Tribolium castaneum: one gene and its partner. The protein of the gene in region 1 interacts with the protein of each later gene in a pairwise test. Links are inferred from orthologs where the notes say so. Each region holds a gene or a part of one and is shown on either strand. Other genes may lie near its edges.

Region 1 (9,990 bases):
GCTATTTTATTGAAATCACGGAAAAATTTAAATTTCAAGCTGAAAAACGAAATTAAACCCTTGAAAAAGGCAATAGTGAAACTAAAATATCTCTAAAAAAACAATGGAAATTCTAGTAATTCCAAATTAAATCTAAGTTCAAAAAAAATGTTTCGTAATTCCAAATGATTCCTATTTTCAAATTAAGTTGTTTTGAAAAATTTGAATTCATTTGATAATAAGTGTTTAAATAACGAGATAAAATGCTCGAAGAAGGAAAAAAAAAACAAAATTGCCCAAAAATGAGTTTTTGGCTGAACAACTTTGTTCAAGTCCTTGAAAAAATAACAGTAACATTAATTTCAACCAATTTTGCAATTTTTTGGGAAATTGTTAACGCGTCCGTCGATTTTCGACTTATTTTCGTCAAAATTTCTGTGAGAAATTATTGAATTTTCCAGAAAAAAATGAGCTAAAATATATTTAAACAGTCCATATATTATAGAATTTATTAACACGATTTCATAAAATTTCTCAAAAAACTGCGTTTTTATTAAAAAATCAGTGTTTAAACACTCCATAAAGTGTAAAAGTAGCCCCGTTTTCAAAATAATTTGGTTAGTTTTTGAGTTTCTAATCGAAGAGTAAACTAAAACACTGAAAGAAATAGGGATTTTTTTACTTGGTTTAGTGAAATATCGGAAAAACTTAATTTTAAGCTGAAAAATGTACTTATACCCTTGAAAAAGGCATCACTGAAATTGTAGTAACTCCAAAAAAAAATCCATGGAAATTCCAGTAATTCCAAAATAATTTCAATAATTACAAATTAATTTTCGTAATTCCAAAATAATTCCTATAGCAATCTGGATAATTCTGAAAGAATTCCAATAATTTCAGAAAAAAATCCAGTAATTCACAAATGATTTATCCACAAGTGAAATTCCTGAAATTATCAAAAATGACACAAAAATTCCAACAATTCCGAAAATCTGTAGTAAAACCAGATGAGTTCCTTTAAATTCAACTTGAATTCCCGTAACTTTAACTTCGAAGAAAATCAATGTAATTTCCATTCCAAGTAATGCCAAGCAATGCCAAAAAGAATTCTAGTAATTCCAAAAGTATTTCCAGTAAGTACCTAATTCCAAAATACCTACTTCCGAAAAATTTCAAAAAAATTTCAAAATGTACAACTATTAATACCAGTAAACGACCCCTTTCTGGAAATACAGGGTGTTTCAAAAAATACTGGCAAACTTCGAAACTGCGAGAAAACCATTTTTATTTTATTGCTTTTGACTAAAAAAAATTGCAGGTATAGTCTGGTTCCGGTGGAGAGGCTGGGACTACACGCTGAAGAAGGCCATGATGATGATCAAACCGAAAGGACCAGTTACAACAACATAAAAAGTGGAAGAAAACTAGCCAATTTATAATCACCGGTCCATTTAATCATAAAATTCATCAATCATAAATCAATATTTATTTCGACACATCCGACACTTACCTATTTTAAATTACCTCATAGTATAGTATACTGAAAATGATTTTTCACAGAAATATTGCCTAGAACGGTTCTATCGACCAACGAATTTTCCCCAGTTGTATGTAAATATAAATGATAGAATTGTTCCTAATGTAGGTTAAGATTGTACATTTGCGCTCCCATCTTAGTTTTGTAAGGAGGTGTATTTGCATGTAGTTACACTAATACATACACAGAGACGCACACACATTTCCTGCACGATTTTTGCAAAAACTAACATTTACTAATAGCGAGGCAAAATGTGTTTAAAATTTCCGCTGATTATAAATTGGGAAAACACGAAAATGTTGAGGAAATTTAAGACTGTGTCGCTTATCGGAGGAAAGTTTCGTCGATAAGTTTGTATTAATGTAAGGTATTTTGTTGTGAGGCTAATGGGACATGAAATGCAATGTTCGTATTAGGCAGGTTAAAATCAAATCTTACCGTAGGTCTTGTACCTTAAGCGTTTTACATGGTTGTTGTAAATATTCTATTTCAGAGTTGTATAAATTAAATATATTTTAATATAATAAATTATGTTAAGTATTAACCAACCCGAGTTTCATTCCCCAGTTTAAATAATTATTCGATTCCTGGTACTCTCTGGAATACCGGGAATCTGTCCCTTTATACGCCGCCCGTGCACGTGTCATGAGATGTTTTAATTCGCCGATTTTTTCGGACTATTCTCGATTTCCAAGAAAATACATTTCAGTTGGTGTTTTCAAATCAAACGTAAAGGGTGTTTAGTCGAACTCAAGCAGTCGTAGAATAAAGTGTGTTCGATTAAAATATAAAATACGTGATGGATACTTGATACTGAACCACAGGAGAAAATACTTACGTGAGTTAGAAATTCTACTTAAAACTTTAACCAAAACTTGAAAAAATTAAATAGACGACGTGATATTACACTTATTTTACTTGATTTTTCAAAAATAAATAGGTTCTGCTCAAAGTAAAAATCGACTAAAATCTCGGTGAAACTGAAAGTGCATAAAATGTTCTTGGAACGAATTTCAAAAAATAATTTTGCTGATAAGTTAAAATTCTCCCCAGTAAATGGTTTTCGAGATAAAAGCGTTTAAAATTGCTGCTGGTGAGAATAAAAAATTAAACTGCCTGATAATTTATCCAAAAACTCGTAAAAATCAAATTTCGCTTGAACAAATCGTTTTGTTCTAGCCTAGGAGTTTTTTTTTGGAAAACTAAAAATGCCTCTGTAACCGAAGCCGTTGCCCGGGGCTGTCTTTTTTCTTCTTTTTATTTTGAAGCCCCCCTTTTGAGCCTTGGGACCATGCAAAAATTTCGTGGGGTGCAACTTTGGTTATCTCACGATTTTAAGTTTAAACCTTTGTTGAGATGCATTTTTTCTCATAAAACGCAACTGTGTCCATCGTTAATAGGCGAAATATTAAAATTATATTAATTTAAATTGTTTGGGCCTTATTTTTATTTTTTAAACTTGGTGACATTTATGCACGCTTGTTTATATGGTTGCATATGCAAGTTAAGGGTGAAAACTTTTTTACCACAAAAATCAACAAGTTGTTACTGGTTCTGCAAAATAGGGACCAAAGGATTAATAAAGAGCCTCATTTAGTCATTTATGACATGTTTCGAGGAAAAGGGTTACAAGCATTATTACACATTCAAGGGCTCAAATTTAATTGTCAAATTCACATTGGTGGTGAATTCGTTTAAAAAAGCTTGATTTCAAGGATTTTACAAAAGGAAAAACTGACCTTGTATTGGAGAAAAGGACGCAAAGCAGGAATAGGCAACAGGAAGCGGTGGAATCGGGTCGTTATTGAGTGTCTTTGCACTTTTGGGCACTAATTGTTCACATAATTGGTCTTAGAACTTTGAACTTTTAGTTTAACACAGTCACAAGTCTAGGAAAACACGAAATCAGACAAATTAAAAAAATAGACAAAAACGAAGCCACCCATGACTTTTGGCGGCTACTCAGTGTTTTTCCAGCGTTGCCAATCTAGTCGCACACAAAAATCCCTAAAGGAAAGCCGCGAATTGTGAATACAATTTTTTTTATTCGAATCACCACAACTAACCAGTGTTGTGTTTAATATTTTAAGTGTAAGTAACAGAAGTCTCAATACCACATTCACTTTCAACGAAAATCCCTGATCCGTAGTTGTGGGCTTTGTAAGGTTCGACTTAAAAGGCTCAAAACCTTTTATTTCAATTAATTGTTGATACTCAACGTTTATCTCACGTATTAGCTGTTTCAAAACTATAAAAACGCCACCGGCGCATTGTTTATGCACTTCAAAAAATTGATGTCTAATGTAATTTATAGTTTCAATGAGAAAGTTAATCCTTAATAATTTTTTTAAATTTTTTATCAACCTTATTTAAAAAATAATTCGGTAAAATACAACGTTGGGAGTTACTTAATAAATTTTATTAAAAAACAAAGAAACCATTTTGTTTTTTGTAATTATTTATTTAATACAACATAAATAACAAAAAAAATGGAAACATGTAATACTTGGATTACTTGTCAATACACGGGTACTTGAGATTCAGTACTTCTAGAGACCAGTGCACATCGTGCTAACTATACAATCATTCCTTAAATGCAACACAATCTAATAATAATAATATGTAATACCATATTTCGGTTAAATGTCTGGTCAAAGTAGCCTATGACTTTGAAATTTGGGTTTCTAACTTTGACTATCAAATTCAAACTACTAATAATTCAGTGTGGCCAACTTAATTTCTTTGTCATAGGCTACTCTGTCTAGTTATTTTTAATTGTACTGCTGCCGTCTTCTCGCCCTCTGTTTGTCGAACCTTAACTCCATCTCCTCCAAGACTTTGGGGGTGTACCTCACCACTAATTTGACAGAGCCATGGGCCTGTTTTAACAACTCCACTGCCTTTTCATGGTTTTCTCCTTCAACAGACTACCCCACAATTATTAATATTTACCCCTTTATCAAACCTCACTCACCACTCCATTGACACTCAATAACTGATCCCCTCGCTTCAGCCCCCCGTGCCGATCCGCCACACCCCCCGGAATAATCCTAGAAATATAAATGGGGGAATTCTGCTCCTTTCCCCCCATCACATTAAACCCTAAACCCTCCTCAGTCTTTGGCAGTTCCACGACTCTGGGGTGTGCATGTCCCTCACTGGCTGCGAAAGCTGCAACTGTGGCCTTAGCAGTGGCAGAGGCTCGCACGTCTTGAGACCCTTGAATATCAACAGTTTCGTAAACGTGCTCGTAGACCTCGCGCACTGCATTCAGAAAGTCGCTCTGGAGGACTTTCTGAAGGGCCGCGAGTTTAGTAGCCGGGACTTCGCCACTTTTCTGGAGCTTCTCCAAAAGCTCAACGGAACGCTTAATGTCTATGACAAACGTTGGAAAATTGCGTAAAATTAAGTAAAAATGTGATTACCTCGGTGGAGGGTCAATGGTTCGCCGATTTGGGCCATTTTTGCAAAATTGGGGCCAATCCTTTTGTTTGACAGGTAAATGACAGCTACGTTGGTACTAAACCAAAAACGTCAGATGTCCCTACATTTGTGCCTTCTGGCACTTGAAATTGATAAAACTTTTTATTGAAGGGATTCTTAAACTAAATCCAGAAAGAAGGATTTAGCAGGCAAATGAATAAGGCCGATTTAGCCAATTTATAAAAGCCACCCCTTTGAAATATTTTGGTTGGTATTAACTGTTACTCGCTTTGTTAGAGCAACAATAAAAGTCCCTAGATAATTTTAAATTTTGTAAAATGCTAACGGACGCTATTCATTTTAAATTTGCCTAAAAAAATGGGTCTGCGTGAGAAAAACTTGAGTGATTACGAGTGTCTTTATTGCCGAATTTACACAAATCAAGCTCATTTACAAGACAACTTTTTTACATTGTTTTGCGGTCAACGAAATGCATTCGACAACTGAATAAAACCACGTGACCTCAACTATATTAACAACTTTATTACGTCTCACACTACCAACAATAACGAAAAAAAACAATAATAAAGTAACTTATCACAACTGTTTATTGGTAAACGGCTGTTAAAATATACAGGATTTAAAATACAGGGCTATCAATACTTCAGCTTACAATGCCATTATTAAAACCGTGTAACGAAAAAAAATTGCTGGAATGTAAATTCCTGCGCCTGATAGTGTTAAAAAAAGGAATGTCGGCCTAAAAAATGCATCAACCACGGAATGAAACAAATAAATTATGAGACAATTAATAATTTAAACCGTAATAATTCTACTATTTCTGTTTAGAGCAAAGCTTTAAGCTCGTCGTATAGTACAAGAACCAAAGCTCCGCCAGTGCCACGGAGAACGTTAGAGAACGCTCCTTTGAAGAAGGCAGTTGGGCCTTCGGTTTTGCCGATCTTGATCCAGCAATCCAACGTATTCTTGTACATAATATCAGCTTTAGCGCGTCCAGACTGCATCATCATACGCCTTCTGACGGTGTCGAATGGATATGACGTAATTCCAGAAACTGTCGTTACGCACTGGCAAGAAAAACGTCATCAATACACACATCAAACAAATCACTAACAACTGATAGTCAATCAATGACATCAGTTAATGGGTAGTGGTAAACTAGAGTCATCAAAGTAGGCTCAGTTTTGTGTAACACATCATGTGTAATAACTTCAAGGACAAATTCATTCAATTCTTATAGGAACAGACGATCTAATCTTATCGCAATTGTTTATGGTGCAAAAAAACTGTTACAATATAGTTCTGAACTCTATTACACAAAGGTCAATTGTGATAAGAGTTATCTCGTCGCACGTCCACAATTGGAAGCAGATAAGAGAGGAATGTTACGACACTATTTCGTAACGAGGGATACCTTACTATTTCAGGATATAGGTCTTCGGATCAATTGCTTTCACTTTTTCAGCTTCAGCAACTGGAAATAACAACAAATCAAAGGTTAGGTGTGTGTCCTTTGCCCATCAATCAGTTCACCGGTTGGAGTCCAATATAATTACCTGTGCAATAAGGAATGAGATGAGGAACGGTGTGTTCTTGGGATCGGGCAACATTCCCTTGGCAGTATCGAAGAAGCCGAAGTAGGAGGCACGGTAGATGATGATACCTTGCACTGAGACAACGAAACCTCGGTACAAACCGATCGGTCCGTCCGATTTCACTGTCTTCTTAATGCAGTCCAGAAGGCCGGTGTACTGCCTTTCGCCCTTGCCTTTGCCGACATCGGCGCCCAAACTATCAAAAATGATTACATATAGCTGAGGAACTTAACAATTTAAAAACCTACCGAGTACGAGCGTAATCTAGAGGGTAGACGAAGCAAAGTGATGTCGCACCAGCGGCACCACCTGACGCCAAATTACCGGCGAAATACCTCCAAAATTGGGTGTTTTTGTCAACACCGCCCAAGAACATCTGTTTGTAGACATCCTTGAAGGCGAAGTTCAATGCCTGGGTTGGGAAATAACGGATCACGTTGGCGAGATTTCCACGCCAGAAACTGAAGAATCCCTGTTCTTTGGGGATACGGACCAGGCAATCGATGATCCCTACATGGAAAATTACGCGCTTAATGCATTATTCAAAGTGGGAAAAAACAAGGTCGGAGATTGCTGTGACTAACACTACTATTTGACCCAAACTAATCAACGACCTCTCAAACAATGAGTCCAAGAGATAAAATGCAATATGCGTTCAAAAAGGACTGTTTTACGTCAGATTGGTTAGTTAGCTAATCTAGAAATTGTAACTCAACAACAATTTACGTTATAGTCTCTAAAACTAAGCGAGATTGTAGAGTGGTTATAGACTGTTATTTTTTGGGGACGCCTTTTTTACAGTTCAGATTCTTTAGAAGTTAGAAAGGCGTCTATGAACTGGAAATATTTGCTAAATTTCCTTGAGAACAAGGAAATAGAGCCCGAAGAGATCGAATAGTTATATCTGGACGGTAACACAGTTAAGTCATCTTCTAGGGGATAAACTATTTCACAGCACAATACTGAAATCCCCAATTATAAAGTTACCACTGGAAATGAAGACTCGTGTGGTTATTGCGATTTTTGACTCATTTTTATGTAACAAGTGGGAGAAATGCCGTTCCCTGACAATAAAATGTTCCGAATTATTTCCAGAAGATTTATTTGATTTGTAAAGAAAGTGATAAAAATGAAATACCAATGAATTTTAACGAAATAAGTGTGAAAATCGTCGTTTTTGGCAAAAATAAACAGCCAAAAACACCCATAGTTCGATTATAAGTAAGAAATTGTCAAAAGTGGAGGTATTTCAACGAAAAACGTATTGTTTTTGTAGTATTAAAATATTGGGTATGTTATCATTCGACAGCGCTGATTCATAAATAAATTGGACTAGATAACAGAATACAATGTTGGAATCCTTCAAATTCAAGGTTATAAGCCGAAAAAATGAAGAGAACAAGAACAAAAACAACAAAGTTCTTTGCTACTAATGCATTGCAGACGAAAAAGAATTAAAATCAGCGGAAATGGACTAAAAATCTGCACTTTTAATGTCGAAACCAATATGGCTTTAAAAAGTGACAAGTCTAATTTATATAATAGTGTATTCAGATCTTTAAAATCTTTATAAACACAGGTAAAATGTGATCATTTAAATTTATAATTAGAATAGGCTTTGATACTTTTTTTAACTTACGTAAAAACACTGATTATCACAATTAGTATTGATTTTAGTATGAATTTTCCCCTCAATTTGGACAAGTTTTTCAATCATAAATAAACGCCTACTATAATTATAAATATAAATTCAAATGATCGCATGGTACAAGTTATATCCGATCGTTAATCTGATCTTTGAAAAAAAAAAAGTAGTTATCAAATTGTTTAAACAATAGAGCGTTTAAATAAAGCTAAGGAAATAAATACTTTTACTTGAAATAGTAAAAGATAAAGTAATATATATTTTATCAGACAGAAAAAGATAAAACTAATAAAAGCTTTTGCTATATTTTTATTCATACAACTAATTCATTTACTACAAATTATAAACTCAGCTGCCAACAAAATTTAAATTTCTACCGCCAATGAATTTTGCCTTAAGATGTCACTATTAATACAGTGTGATTCAAAGTGTTGGACATACCTAATTTCTAATATGTTTTCCTTGGCAACGGTATTGATTGTTGCTCTTTTGTTTCCTATGATGTCAAATTTGCAAGTTTTTTAAATGTTTTTCATTAGACATTAATTGTGTTTCTTTAATGATGCAAGAGCTGTTGTTTCCGCCATATCTCGCAAAAAAGCTTAAAAAAAATTTTGTCATATAATTCAGTTTGATGTGTGTTTGACAGCTTGTACGGTACTTTTGAATCAGCCTGTATATCTCGTGAAAAAAGGGTCCAAACAATTTCTTGCCGTAGGAACTTTTAATTTAGTTATCTCGTAGAGATTGTCCAATACTTTTGAATCTCCTGTATACTAAAGCACTTGACATTGCTAGTGGACTTTGAAATTAAGCTTTAAGCTTGAAACTATTCCTTCAAAAATGTAACACTAACACGAGAACTATCGTCAGATATTTTTTGGTATTGCTCATAGTTTAGCTAACAAAAAATTGTTTAGCCATTGTTTTAAGAAGATCAGGGGTACCAATTGGACAAAATACATATGTGAAAATTGTATCTTGATAGTTTTCCCTGTTTCAGTAGTTAGGAGAAAACAATTTGCCTACTTTCTCCAATCATTACCTACGGTTTTGTACTGTTTTTAACGCTTGTACAATACTTCAAGTGTCAATGAAAACGTAACCATGAAACAATAATCACGAAATACGTAACACGATTACTTAAACTATGATTCATTGTCGTCATTGTACATGCAATTGTGATAATTGTTTCAAATTTAATGCTCAAAAAAGTCCAATAATTTATAGTCACGTTATCACTAAATCCCATCTCTAAAACCCCTCTACACCTATCTTGCTCCCACCCACTGCGACGCCATAAAACTGTCCCTTTCTAACCACGATTTCCTTAGCAACGGCAACAAACCCCGAAATCGCCTTCATTAAGGCCTCCATCTTGTCGTTTTTCCAATTCGCATCGCATAAATTGCGATGACGTCACCACTACCACGTGTTCAGAGCCCGTCCCCGAGCGCCGCCACTGAACGCCCGGTTACGTAACCGCACCTTTTGGGTTAACCGCCGCCGAGGCGGTTCAAGGTGAGGTCGGGAACTGGGTTATCGATCCTTGGCGGCGGCACGCGTCTGACCCGCAATCCCCCAATTGGCAAAGGTGGCCCTTGCGACCATTAAAAATGGCCGATTACTCACCTTTATACTGTTTGTCGGCGGCAATTTGCTTGCTAGCGGCTTGGACCTGGAGGAGGAGCTTCACGCGCTCGATGGGGGCCACCGCTGTCTTGGACACAGCCGCCGAGATGCCCCCAGCGAGGAAATCCTTGGCGAAACTCATGGGATCAGTGGGCATT
Region 2 (10,815 bases), about 25 Mb from region 1:
AAACTTCAGTGCTGCTGCAACACAATTATTTGCGCCTCAGTTCACCAAATAGCACACATTGATTAACATGATAAATAAACATTTATACTTTCAGCTAGTGTTAGGAGTCACGGAGCCAACAAAAATTATTTTTGTGATTTGTTTAGATGATAGGATATGAAATAATGTACAAAATTTATATAAAACTTGTAAATGTAGAAGAGAAATTATTACGATTTAAATGAAATTATAAATGCCTTCCTGCCATTTATGGGTCTACCACGCTCGTCGTTTGACTTTTGCATGAGGTGATATGATATTTTTCAAAAAGTGGCCTTTAAACTTTCAGTACTTGTTTGGATCTCTCTGCACAAGGTGATGCACTTTGCTGGCCCCACTTAAAACCTCCGATAACCACATTCTGGAGCTCTTTTGGAAAAAATAATTTAGGCAAAACCGCTATCTACTTTTGTAGACTTATTATAAACAAAAGCTTTATTTTAGCTAAGTCTTAAAAAATTCACATCTTCCTTATTATAAAAGATATCCATTTGAAACAAAAACGTTTTACAGACACTTTTTGACAAGAACTAATAATGTAACTGACGATTTTTTTGCCATTGTTTTAACTATTTTTTAAAAGAAAGTCGTAGGTGGCCCTGACATTTTTAAAAAGCTTACCTTTTCTGATTTCTTTGTCTATTTGTTTTTAAACAAATTAAAAAAAAAACATAATTTGCTTTTTGTTTGTAGTAGGCCATGTAAAAATATTGAATTGTATTAAATCTATAACGCGAGGTGTAACATACAATATTTTTTGTGCTTTGTGGAAAAAGTCTTTAAATGTCAATAAAAGGGAGATTAATTTTTTTTATAAGTTTAAAAGTCAAAAAAAGCATAGTGGGCTGTGGGTTTTGCTGAAATTATTTTGAGAAAAAAGAAATGTTTGGACGTGCAGAGTGCGGCACCCTGTACATCTCCCGGTTTGAGTTTTTAGTAGGTTTTTCGGTTCAAAGACTAGGCTTAATGTGTTCAAAAACGAGTAAAGTAGTAAGTGCCTTCCAAACTATGACCACTTATGTCATCCGAGACACAAAATTGTTATTGAACAAAATTGCATTTTCATCTGTTTTTTGGTATGGTATCACCCTGAATGGCATGTTCTTTTTCATATCTCTGTAAATTACATTTATATACATACATACCTAACTTTATTATAATTATGTAAGCAAAAGTGATGTGAGATTGGCGGCAGTTTTTAGATATGATGTATAACCACTCAAAATTCAGGTAAAAGCTTTATTTTAATGTATACTATTAAAACATAATATAGTTCGATGTTAGTGCAAATATAACATAGCATACCTAAAGTTATAAATAGCCTCTTTAGTCAGTATGCAATAATTATTATCATTCAAGTTGTGCTACTCGTAGAGACAGTCTGAACTTACATGCAATCGCCCAGTTGTATGCATCAGTCATATTATATGTGCAGTCTCTTTATTTATATTTTTATAAGACTTGCGTTCAGTCTACATTCTTTACATGATTTATGCACATTATTATTACTATTATTTTATGTCTGTATGGTAAATAAGAATAAATTGTAAAAATTCAAACATGAACTCGACTTTTACTCCATTTCTTTTAAACTTGGCTGTTTTATTCCGTAACATTCTGATAACCCGACAGGTGGCACTTACAGGTTTCCCTAACACTTTGCTTAAAATCTGTAATCCTTGAGATAAGCATTTATAATTTCTGATGCTTTTTTCCAATATAGAAAGCACCAAGGAGAAAATACAAGCTTGCGCTGTCTAAGCAACACATATACCTTTAAAGTGATTGGTGAACTTCTTACCACCAACCCGATTAAACCAAAAATGCAGTAAAAATAAATTATTTTTCTATTTGATTAAATTTATTTAAAACGAGTTATAAAACGCTCCAAAAACAAAATAGTTTTTAATAATACGAGTGTATACGAGTCCGAGGGTTGTCGTTATGCAACGAGCGTACGCGAGTTGCTTACCTAGACACTCGAGAACTTTAAGCGTTTTCGCATAAGTGTTTTTCAATTTTTTTTTGGTGGAACATTGTATTTTAAAAATACTGAAAACACTTAGCTATCTGAAACGTGTTTCAAAATAGTGTTTATAATCTAGGATTCAGACAATAAAAAGAAGTCAATAAAATGTTACCAACACAAGAAAAGTCATTTTTGCTCTTTTACTTGGATTATTATGTGTTTTAAGTAATTTTAAGAACCTGGATATTTTACTTGAAATTCCGCACAGCTTCATAAAGCGTCCATAAATAAGTGGACTAGTTTTTTTTATAAATATCTTACCTTAAAAATTGGCCATTTTATGTGGTCACATAAAATTTTCCAATTCATATAACTGTTTTAAAGCTTTAGGGTACTGAAGTAGTACCGAAGCGATTGTTTTTATCTTCTTCATCAAATAAAACAGACTCATATACTCATAATACAAACTTCAATACAGGAGAAAATCGCATATAAACCTATTAAGTAATATGTAAATACATTTTTACGTAAGACATCAGACAGGGTTGAAATTTTTTTATCATTTTTTTTTAATATTTATCTACGTAATTTGTTGAGTTGAAAAAAATACTGGGGAAGGACCATAAATGAAATTAAAAGAGAGTTATGAAACGTTTCGTTTTATTACATGACATCATCAGGCTGAAGACCAAGTTATTATTACAACGACAATTGAAAAATATAAAACTTAAATTGTCGATGTTATATTTTTGTTCTTCAGCCTGATGATGTCTTATGTAATAAGACGAAACGTTGCATAATTCTCGTTTGGTTTCATTTGTGGTCCTTCCCTAGTAATTTTTCCAACTCTACAAATTTCAACTTTTGAAGGACGTTAAACTTGTGAGATTATTATCTACATAAGTACCTTAAAAAACGGTGGAGTACTTAATACTTTAACTGTTGTTCTGAACAGTTCCATGAGTTGAAAGCTTTTTAAATATACTTAGAAAACAGGTCAAAACCTAAGTTTTAGGCCTAAGTTTTATAACTCAAAAGAGTGCTAAAATTTTCGCAAAAATTTTTTTTTGCAAAATAATTTTATTTCGGGTAAAAAAACATACTAAAACAATGTAATAAAATTGTTTTAATCAATGGTCTTAATTTAGATTTTTGGTCCCACAAAAAAAATAGCTAAAAACATGGTAAAGTCATGAAAGAAAGTGTAGGTAACAGCATTGCCGACCTAAATTTGGTTTATTTTTCAGTAGTTCCCTTAACATAATTGCCTTTTTGGCTGTAAATTGTTGAAAGAAAACAAGTTTTTAATCCAAAAACTCTTGAAAAAGCAATACTCTACTTTTGAGATTTCCTTTTTTGCAATAATTTAAGCGTTTGAGAAAATGCAAATAATACGAGTGTGAAAGCACAAGCTTAAAGTTTAAGAGTTGTCGTTATGCAACAAGCATATGCGAGTTGCATACCTAGACACCCGAGAACTTTAAGCTTTTTCGCATAAGTGTTATTCAGTTTTTTTTTCTTGGAACATTTTAATTTAAAAACATGTTGCTATGGGAAACGTGTTTTAACATAGTGTTTATAATTTAGGGTTCACATATTGAAAAGAAGGCTTAAAATGTTATAAAAAAAAAATAACTGTTTGAAAAACAGCTCTCTAGGACCGCATGCGCCTGAATTTGGGGTTTGCGCTGCTATTTGTTGGTAGCATCGGCTGTCAGTCTGTCAGACGCCATGTTTGGAGTCGGAGATTTAGCAGATTAGGAAATAGACGATTTGGAATGGAATGTTGGTGATAAATCCAATAATAATTACCAAACCAGAAGGTATTTTAATCCTTTTAGTCGATTATCGACCCCCGAGTTGTGGTTGCACGCATGTCACTAGTCGTTGCATTTCTAGCACAGAACTGCAGTTTTTGTAAAAATAGATCTTTTGCTTGGATTGCAAAATATAATAGTCGTGGAACAATTACACACGCCTATTTAATAAACACCGACGATGTCAAGTCGTTGACTTTCCAGTCTTGTGCGTCACGCAATGTGCAAAAGTTCTGTTCAGTTTTCTAATTATTTTGTATTGCGGTTTTAACAGATGAGTTCTCAATTGTAGAATGACAGCGGAGCTAATGGCCAATGGAACTAAGGAAAAATGGGATCCAGGTGAGAGCGGATTAGTTCAGTTTTTTAGAGCGTTTTTTATGGTTTTGTAGATGCATGTATTTTTTAGAAATAAACGATTATTCCTATTTTTTATTCTTTCATTTATTTCTCACTTGAGGCGCTTCGTTTTACATAATCTTTTAATCAACGGCCACTAGATTATCAAGTTGGACGTCGCTTCGCGACGTCCAACTTGAAATACCCTATGTTACTCTAATCTGGTTCTTCAGCTTTGTCGCGCTTGTTGTCGTCTCTGCAGCAAGCCAAGGAATTGCCCTCAACGGAAGAAGATTTGGGATTTTTGAGTGAATTATTACAATCCAAGGAACTTCATGCCTTAGTTAACGTTCACAATAAGATAATCAGTAATGGCGCTAGCGATAAATTTTTCCCGATGTTGTCGACATCGATGCATGTTATGGTGGATGTTTTGGAAGTTTTAGCGGCTAAATTGCAAGTTTCCGAAGAATGCAAGGAGTTGTTTTATTTGCTTCAGAAACCTCACGTGCAGGTACAGTTGTACATGTTCTGTCATGTGTGTTGCATAACGTTGGGCGTTTGTGTACAAATTGTTTAGAATTGTGTTTTCTACACAAAGTTGGAATTCGGGACGAACAAGATTGTTATCAGTTGGGCGCTGAATAATAGTTCGAAATAAACTTAATCAATACTTTAGACTGCAGATTTTGTCCAAGGACATGCTTTCGCACACAAGCAAACAGGTTTCGTCCAAAAATGTTTTTTGCTGACCTGACCAAACCGTTTTCTCTAAGACCTTTATTTTCGGAATTTAGAATTTTTTTAGTGAAAAGCTAAATAGTTCTCGAAATGATAATAATTTTTGGCAAAAAATTTCGAAAATTCAACTTTTGTAAAAAACTAGTATACTGGGTGTCAGTTTTTCGAGAGTAATCTGAAAAAAAAATTTGTCATTTTTATTTAAATTAAAAATCTACAGGACAGCCTGTAGATATTACGTTAGATGAACCGTAAAATTCGCTGAAATAAACTATTTTGTTCTAGCTTTTTTAGTTGACGAGTTATGATTTTTTAGTGAAAAACTAAATAGCTGAAATTGCCATCATAATCTTTGGCAAAAAACTCAAAACTTCAAATGTAAAAAACTTGTTTAGATACCTATTACGTAAAATGAACCGTAAAATCCGCTGGAACAAACCATTTTGTTCTAGGAATTTTATTTTTAAAGGTAGATTTTTTATATAATCCGTTGCCCGGAACGGCTCTGGGTTTTAACAAAGAGTGATAATTTTAAATGCTTTATGCTTTTTTTTTTAGAAATTTTTTTCTAAATCTTATAGTTTTTGAGAAAAACGCAAAGAACATTTTGGAATGTTTACTTTTAAACGCCGATTACGGCGAAACTATTATAGCTATAGGAGAAAAAATCTTATTTCGTCGTGAAGAGCACATCAAAATATTTCAGAAGGGATGTGTTTCAATCAATTTTGAGATACTTTAAGTCCATTTTTATTATTTTCTCAATTACAACAAAATTATTTAAGAAAATGGAATTAGTTTGACCTGATACGAGGATGACTCAATGAATTGGCGTCAAATAATTGTAGAAAATTTAATTCTCTTATACATTTTCTTGTATTTTGATCGTGTTTGTAGTGGTTTTGTTTTCATATTGATTAATTTGACACAAATAAAATTTTTGGGTTGTGAAGTTCAAGTTATTTTGTATCTTATTTCATCTCCTTGCATAATGTTCTTCCTTGTTCAAATATTTTCTCAAATATAGTCTTATTTCATTTGAAAATATGTACGCGGTCATAATGAAATGAATGAAAATATCTTCAAGATTTGTACTTATGTTCATTTGTTTTTGAAATCTTAATGTGCACTACCTAAAAAATATGAGGGTCATTTAAACATGGTATGTTTTAGAATGACACCAGATATCATTATTGATTAATTTCAATATTTTTGAGAAAAACATAGATAAAGTATGTGTTTAACAACAAACCTGTTATTACTAATTTTTGATATAAATCAAAAAATACTTTCAGCAGAGTATATTTCACCTAAAGGTTTTCTATATCTTCAAATATTTGAAATTGTTTTTTCTAAGATTTCTTCCAATTTTCATCTTTCTCTGTCTTACTTTTGAACAAAACATTACGCCTCCATTATATCCAAATTAATTTTTTTAATCAGATAATGTTTCTGTTTTATTTTACATCAGCTCCTTTCGCTACTTTTTTCTTATCATTATTTTATAACCAATAATAAAACTAATAAAAATTAACATATTTCTCTACTTTCAGCAGAGTATATTTTACCTAAAGGTTTTCTATATCTTCAAATATTTGAAATTGTTTTTTCTAAGATTTCTTCCAATTTTCATCTTTCCCTGTTTTACTTTTGAACAAAACATTACGCCTCCATTATATCCAAATTCATTTTTTTAATCAGATAATGTTTTTGTTTTATTTTACATCTGCTTCTTTCGCTACTTTTTCCTTATCATTATTTTATGATCATTGATAAAACTAATAAAAATTAACATATTTCACCGAGAAATTCGTCGATTTTAGCTAAAATATGGCAAATTGTTGTTTTTTAAAAATGAAATTTATCCGAGGCAAATGCAAAGATGGTCGTTTAAGACTAAATTAGTGCGACGCAAATTATTCTTAAGCGATTTTTAAGACAGAAAACGTAAAAAATTACTTGTTTTAGTTAAACAAATGCGAAAACACTTGATCCAACCAAAATAAAGCACTTTGGACGACTATTTCCCAAAACAAAGTTATTCTTATTTTTTCCAGTAATTAAACAATTTTCGACAACTAGTAAACGTGGTCTGTAACAAGAGTAATATAATTACTTTATTACTTTAATTACCTTTATGATTTTGTCAAACTAACAAATAATTTTTTTTAATTATACGAAGAATTCTAAAACTTTTTACTTTCTTTGATTAATTTTAATAATTGTAAAAATTGTTAGTCTTGTAGTTATTTAATACAGACATTATTCGTTTAAAATTTGAAATCCATTAAAAAAACATTTAAAAAAGTTCAAATTGCTTGCTGAATTTACTACTTTAAACAGCTTTAATTTGTGATAGTTTTCAAGATGTACTTCACTACGGTTTGCGTCTGGCTCGCTATTTTAAACAATTTTTGCAAAGAGATGGTAAATCTGATGTTTTTCGGCATATTATCTTCTTATGGACCCTAATATTTGTTAACACACTTGTGAATTTTTAGTCATTCATCATAGCTTGAATAACAAAGTGAAGAAGAAGCTCATATCAATAAAAAAACTTAATGGGGTTACGCCTAATAATTCTGAAGTTATTATCCGATAAACGTTAACGCGTTAACCGCAAATCAAACATTATAAAATCGGTTCAGTTAACGTTGTTTGTACTTTTAAGGCTCTTAACGGGCTCTGGAGACCATAAAAAGTGCATAAACGTTCCTGGCCTGTGCTTTAACTCACATTTTTGAAAACAAAAATTTTCAGGGATTGCTATACTCCCACGACGCCATAGCCCAAAAAGATTATTACCCTCACTTGCCTGAAATACCTCAGGAGGCTGACGAAGACGAAGAAACCATAAAAATCGTGCAGCTCGTAAAAAGTAACGAACCCTTGGTGAGTATCCCCAACTTAATTAGCCTTAGTTTTGTCATGTCTTAAGCATAAGAAAATTAGTCCCATCCTCAAGTCTCAAATTCTTCCAACTAAATATTCACACAATAATTTTTGTTTCTTGCAAAGACTGGGGCACAAAGTGCTGAACCAATAGTCGTAAGTATTTACGAAACAACCAGTTTTCCTTTTTTAAATCTTCAATAGCTGTTTTCTCTGTTAAAAATGAAATTATCGATGTTTTGAATGCGTTTTTTCGTGTTCAGGGGGCCACGATAAAAACCGACGAAGAAACGGGTAAAATAATCATAGCGCGAGTGATGCACGGAGGGGCTGCAGACCGCTCCGGTTTGATTCACGTGGGGGACGAGGTCGTGGAAGTGAACTACATAAATGTTGAAGGCAAGACACCAAACGACGTTCTTAGTATTTTAGTACGGCTCTGTTTGATCGCAATTTGCGTAAATTAATTCGGGGATTTTAGCAAAATTCAGAGGGAACAATTACGTTTAAACTAGTCCCTGCTGACAGCAAAATGAACGTTCGGGAGAGCAAAGTGCGAGTGAGGGCCCATTTTGACTACGAGGCCTCAAACGATCCGTATATTCCCTGTAAGGAGGCAGGGTTGGACTTTCGAAAAGGCGACGTCTTGCACATCGTGTCGCAAGATGACGCTTATTGGTGAGTTCTTTTTTAATGGAAATTATATTTTTTTATTTTTGCATCTTAAAAGCTTTTAAACTGTTTTTCTGAAACGTTATCATTCTCTTACTGACTAGTGAGTACGGTATTTGGACATTAAAAGTTAATTCAATAGAATCGTTGAGTAATTTGGAGATTTTTTGTTTTATAAAATTTTAAACGTTGTTTAATGTTTAGTTTTCGAAAAAAGGCAAAAACGACACCAGTTTTGAGATAATTTTGGTCATTTTTTGCCATATTTTTGATGAAATTCTTCAAAATGATCGCGTTTTTGAATAAAAATTGAAGTGTTAAAACGCTATAAAAAGCAACATTTTTTGACTTAATTTATTGATTTTTCGGATACGTGCTTAAACTTTCTTTAAAGACGAAAGTGAAAACATTTTTTGATGATGTACCTAGTGATTTTTCAGTTTATTTTGGATATAAGTGGTGACGTAGGTAGTTTAGTGATTAAAAACCTATACGATCATTTGAATTTATAATTGAGTAGGCGGTTTCTTTCTTTGTGATTGATATGATAAATTAGTACAAAATAAAGAAAAAATGTGCTTTAATTAAATATTAATAATAATAATGTTTATTAACGGCCACGCCAAGTACAAGTGATATATAAAATACAAAGATAAATACAAACACAGATAGGTACAATACAGTTAATATAAAATAAAGTGTTAATTATTAAAAGAGCTAAGTTCACTATGTTCAATAACAGTTTTTAAATCTTTTAGAAATCTATTTTTAGGTAAACCTATAAAATCTAATTTACCAGAAAGTACGTTGCATGTTTTAGACAGCCTAGAAGATACAGAATTTTTCCCATAATTGGTACGGTGGTAAGGCACCACAAGCATTCTAGGCTCTTTAACGTTACAAACGGGTATATTTATTGAAAATAGCGGAAGAATAGGATAACAATTTACATTACCAGACAATATACGATATACGAACGACGCGTCATAAAATATTCTACGAGAAGATAGTAAGGATAGTCCTAAATAACTTAAAATGTTTATATAATTATTTTTGTCATAAAATATGTTAAATTTGTAACATACAAATTTAACAAATTTTTTCTGAACATTTTCAATTCGATTAATATGAACATTATAACAAGGTTGCCAAATAATTGTGCAGTATTCCAAAATTGGACGAACATAACAATTATATAATAACATTACAACACGCAAACTTGAAAAATCAGAGCACTGTCTTATTATAAATCCTAATGTTTTGTTTGCTTTCGACAAAATGTGGTTAACGTGATAGTCAAAACTTAACTGGCTGTCTACAATAACTCCTAAATCGCGAATATGAGTGACACATTCAAGTTGATTGCCTGATATAAAGTACGATGGTAGATTGTAATATAATTTTCTAGAAAATCTTAGTGATTTACATTTATTTATGTTCAGTTCTAAAAAAAATTTTTTACACCACATACAAAAACTATTTAAATCACGTTGTAATATATCACAGTCGTTTGGATTTATAATAACTTTAAAAATCTTTACATCGTCGGCAAAAAGAAGGATTTCAGAGCTTTCGATCGCTGTTTTGACATCATTTATATATAGAGAAAAAAGAATAGGGCCTAGATGTGACCCCTGAGGCACACCTGTGGATGGGTGAATTGCGCGAGACTTAACATCATTTATAGTTACATACTGTACACGATTAGATAAAAAAGAATAAATCCAACTAAGGACTGGATCCCCAAAACCTAAATTATCTAATTTTGATATTAATAACTCAATGGAAATGCGATCAAAAGCTTTTGACATATCAGTATATATACAATCAATTTGGAATCCATTTTCAAGATTTGACGTTATATATTCAGTAAACAGAAAAAGATTGGTCATCGTAGAGCGACCCTTGAAAAAACCATGTTGTTCTTCAATAACAGATTGTTTTACAGAAAATGATATAATGTCAGCCATAATGGAGTCAAAAACTTTTGATATACGATGGGGTACATATCGGTCTATAGTTGAAAATATTTACACGACTACCATTTTTAAAGACAGGTCTGATATATGAGATTTTCCAAATATCCGGAAATTGAGACTGATCAAGAGATTTATTGAACAGCATTTGTAATGGCAATGCCAATTCATAAGCACAATTTTTTAAAAACATTTGAGATATACCATCAGGGCCGGTTGTATAGTTGTCATCTAGATGTATCAATTTTGAAAAAATAACATCAGCAGAAATTTCAACGCTATTTAAAAATACAGCATTTTGATTATTTTTAGAAAAATTTAAATCAGATAACTTCGGTTGATCAAGATAAACAGATTCAAAATGATGGGC

Evidence for each region.
Region 2: the proteins of veli (region 1) and metro interact in a two-hybrid assay, tested with the Drosophila melanogaster proteins (2 studies listed by BioGRID). The link is inferred for Tribolium castaneum from reciprocal best matches to the Drosophila melanogaster genes veli and metro.

Annotation. Positions count from the first base shown.
Region 1 is NC_087394.1:2,336,588-2,346,577, forward strand, and holds veli (protein lin-7 homolog C), read right to left. Parts: upstream 5,100-9,990; 5' UTR 4,979-5,099; coding exon 4,942-4,978; intron 4,892-4,941; coding exon 4,491-4,891; intron 4,444-4,490; coding exon 4,288-4,443; 3' UTR 3,957-4,287; downstream 1-3,956. Other genes in the region: angiopoietin-4, read left to right, coding at 1,298-1,389; ADP,ATP carrier protein 1, read right to left, coding at 5,785-6,027, 6,517-6,751, 6,804-7,065, 9,833-9,989.
Region 2 is NC_087394.1:26,891,034-26,901,848, reverse strand, and holds the start of metro (MAGUK p55 subfamily member 7), read left to right. Parts: upstream 1-3,595; 5' UTR 3,596-3,797; exon of another isoform or gene 3,798-3,831; intron 3,832-3,849; 5' UTR 3,850-4,118; coding exon 4,119-4,167; intron 4,168-4,397; coding exon 4,398-4,678; intron 4,679-7,665; coding exon 7,666-7,797; intron 7,798-7,923; coding exon 7,924-7,953; intron 7,954-8,060; coding exon 8,061-8,228; intron 8,229-8,278; coding exon 8,279-8,475; intron 8,476-10,815.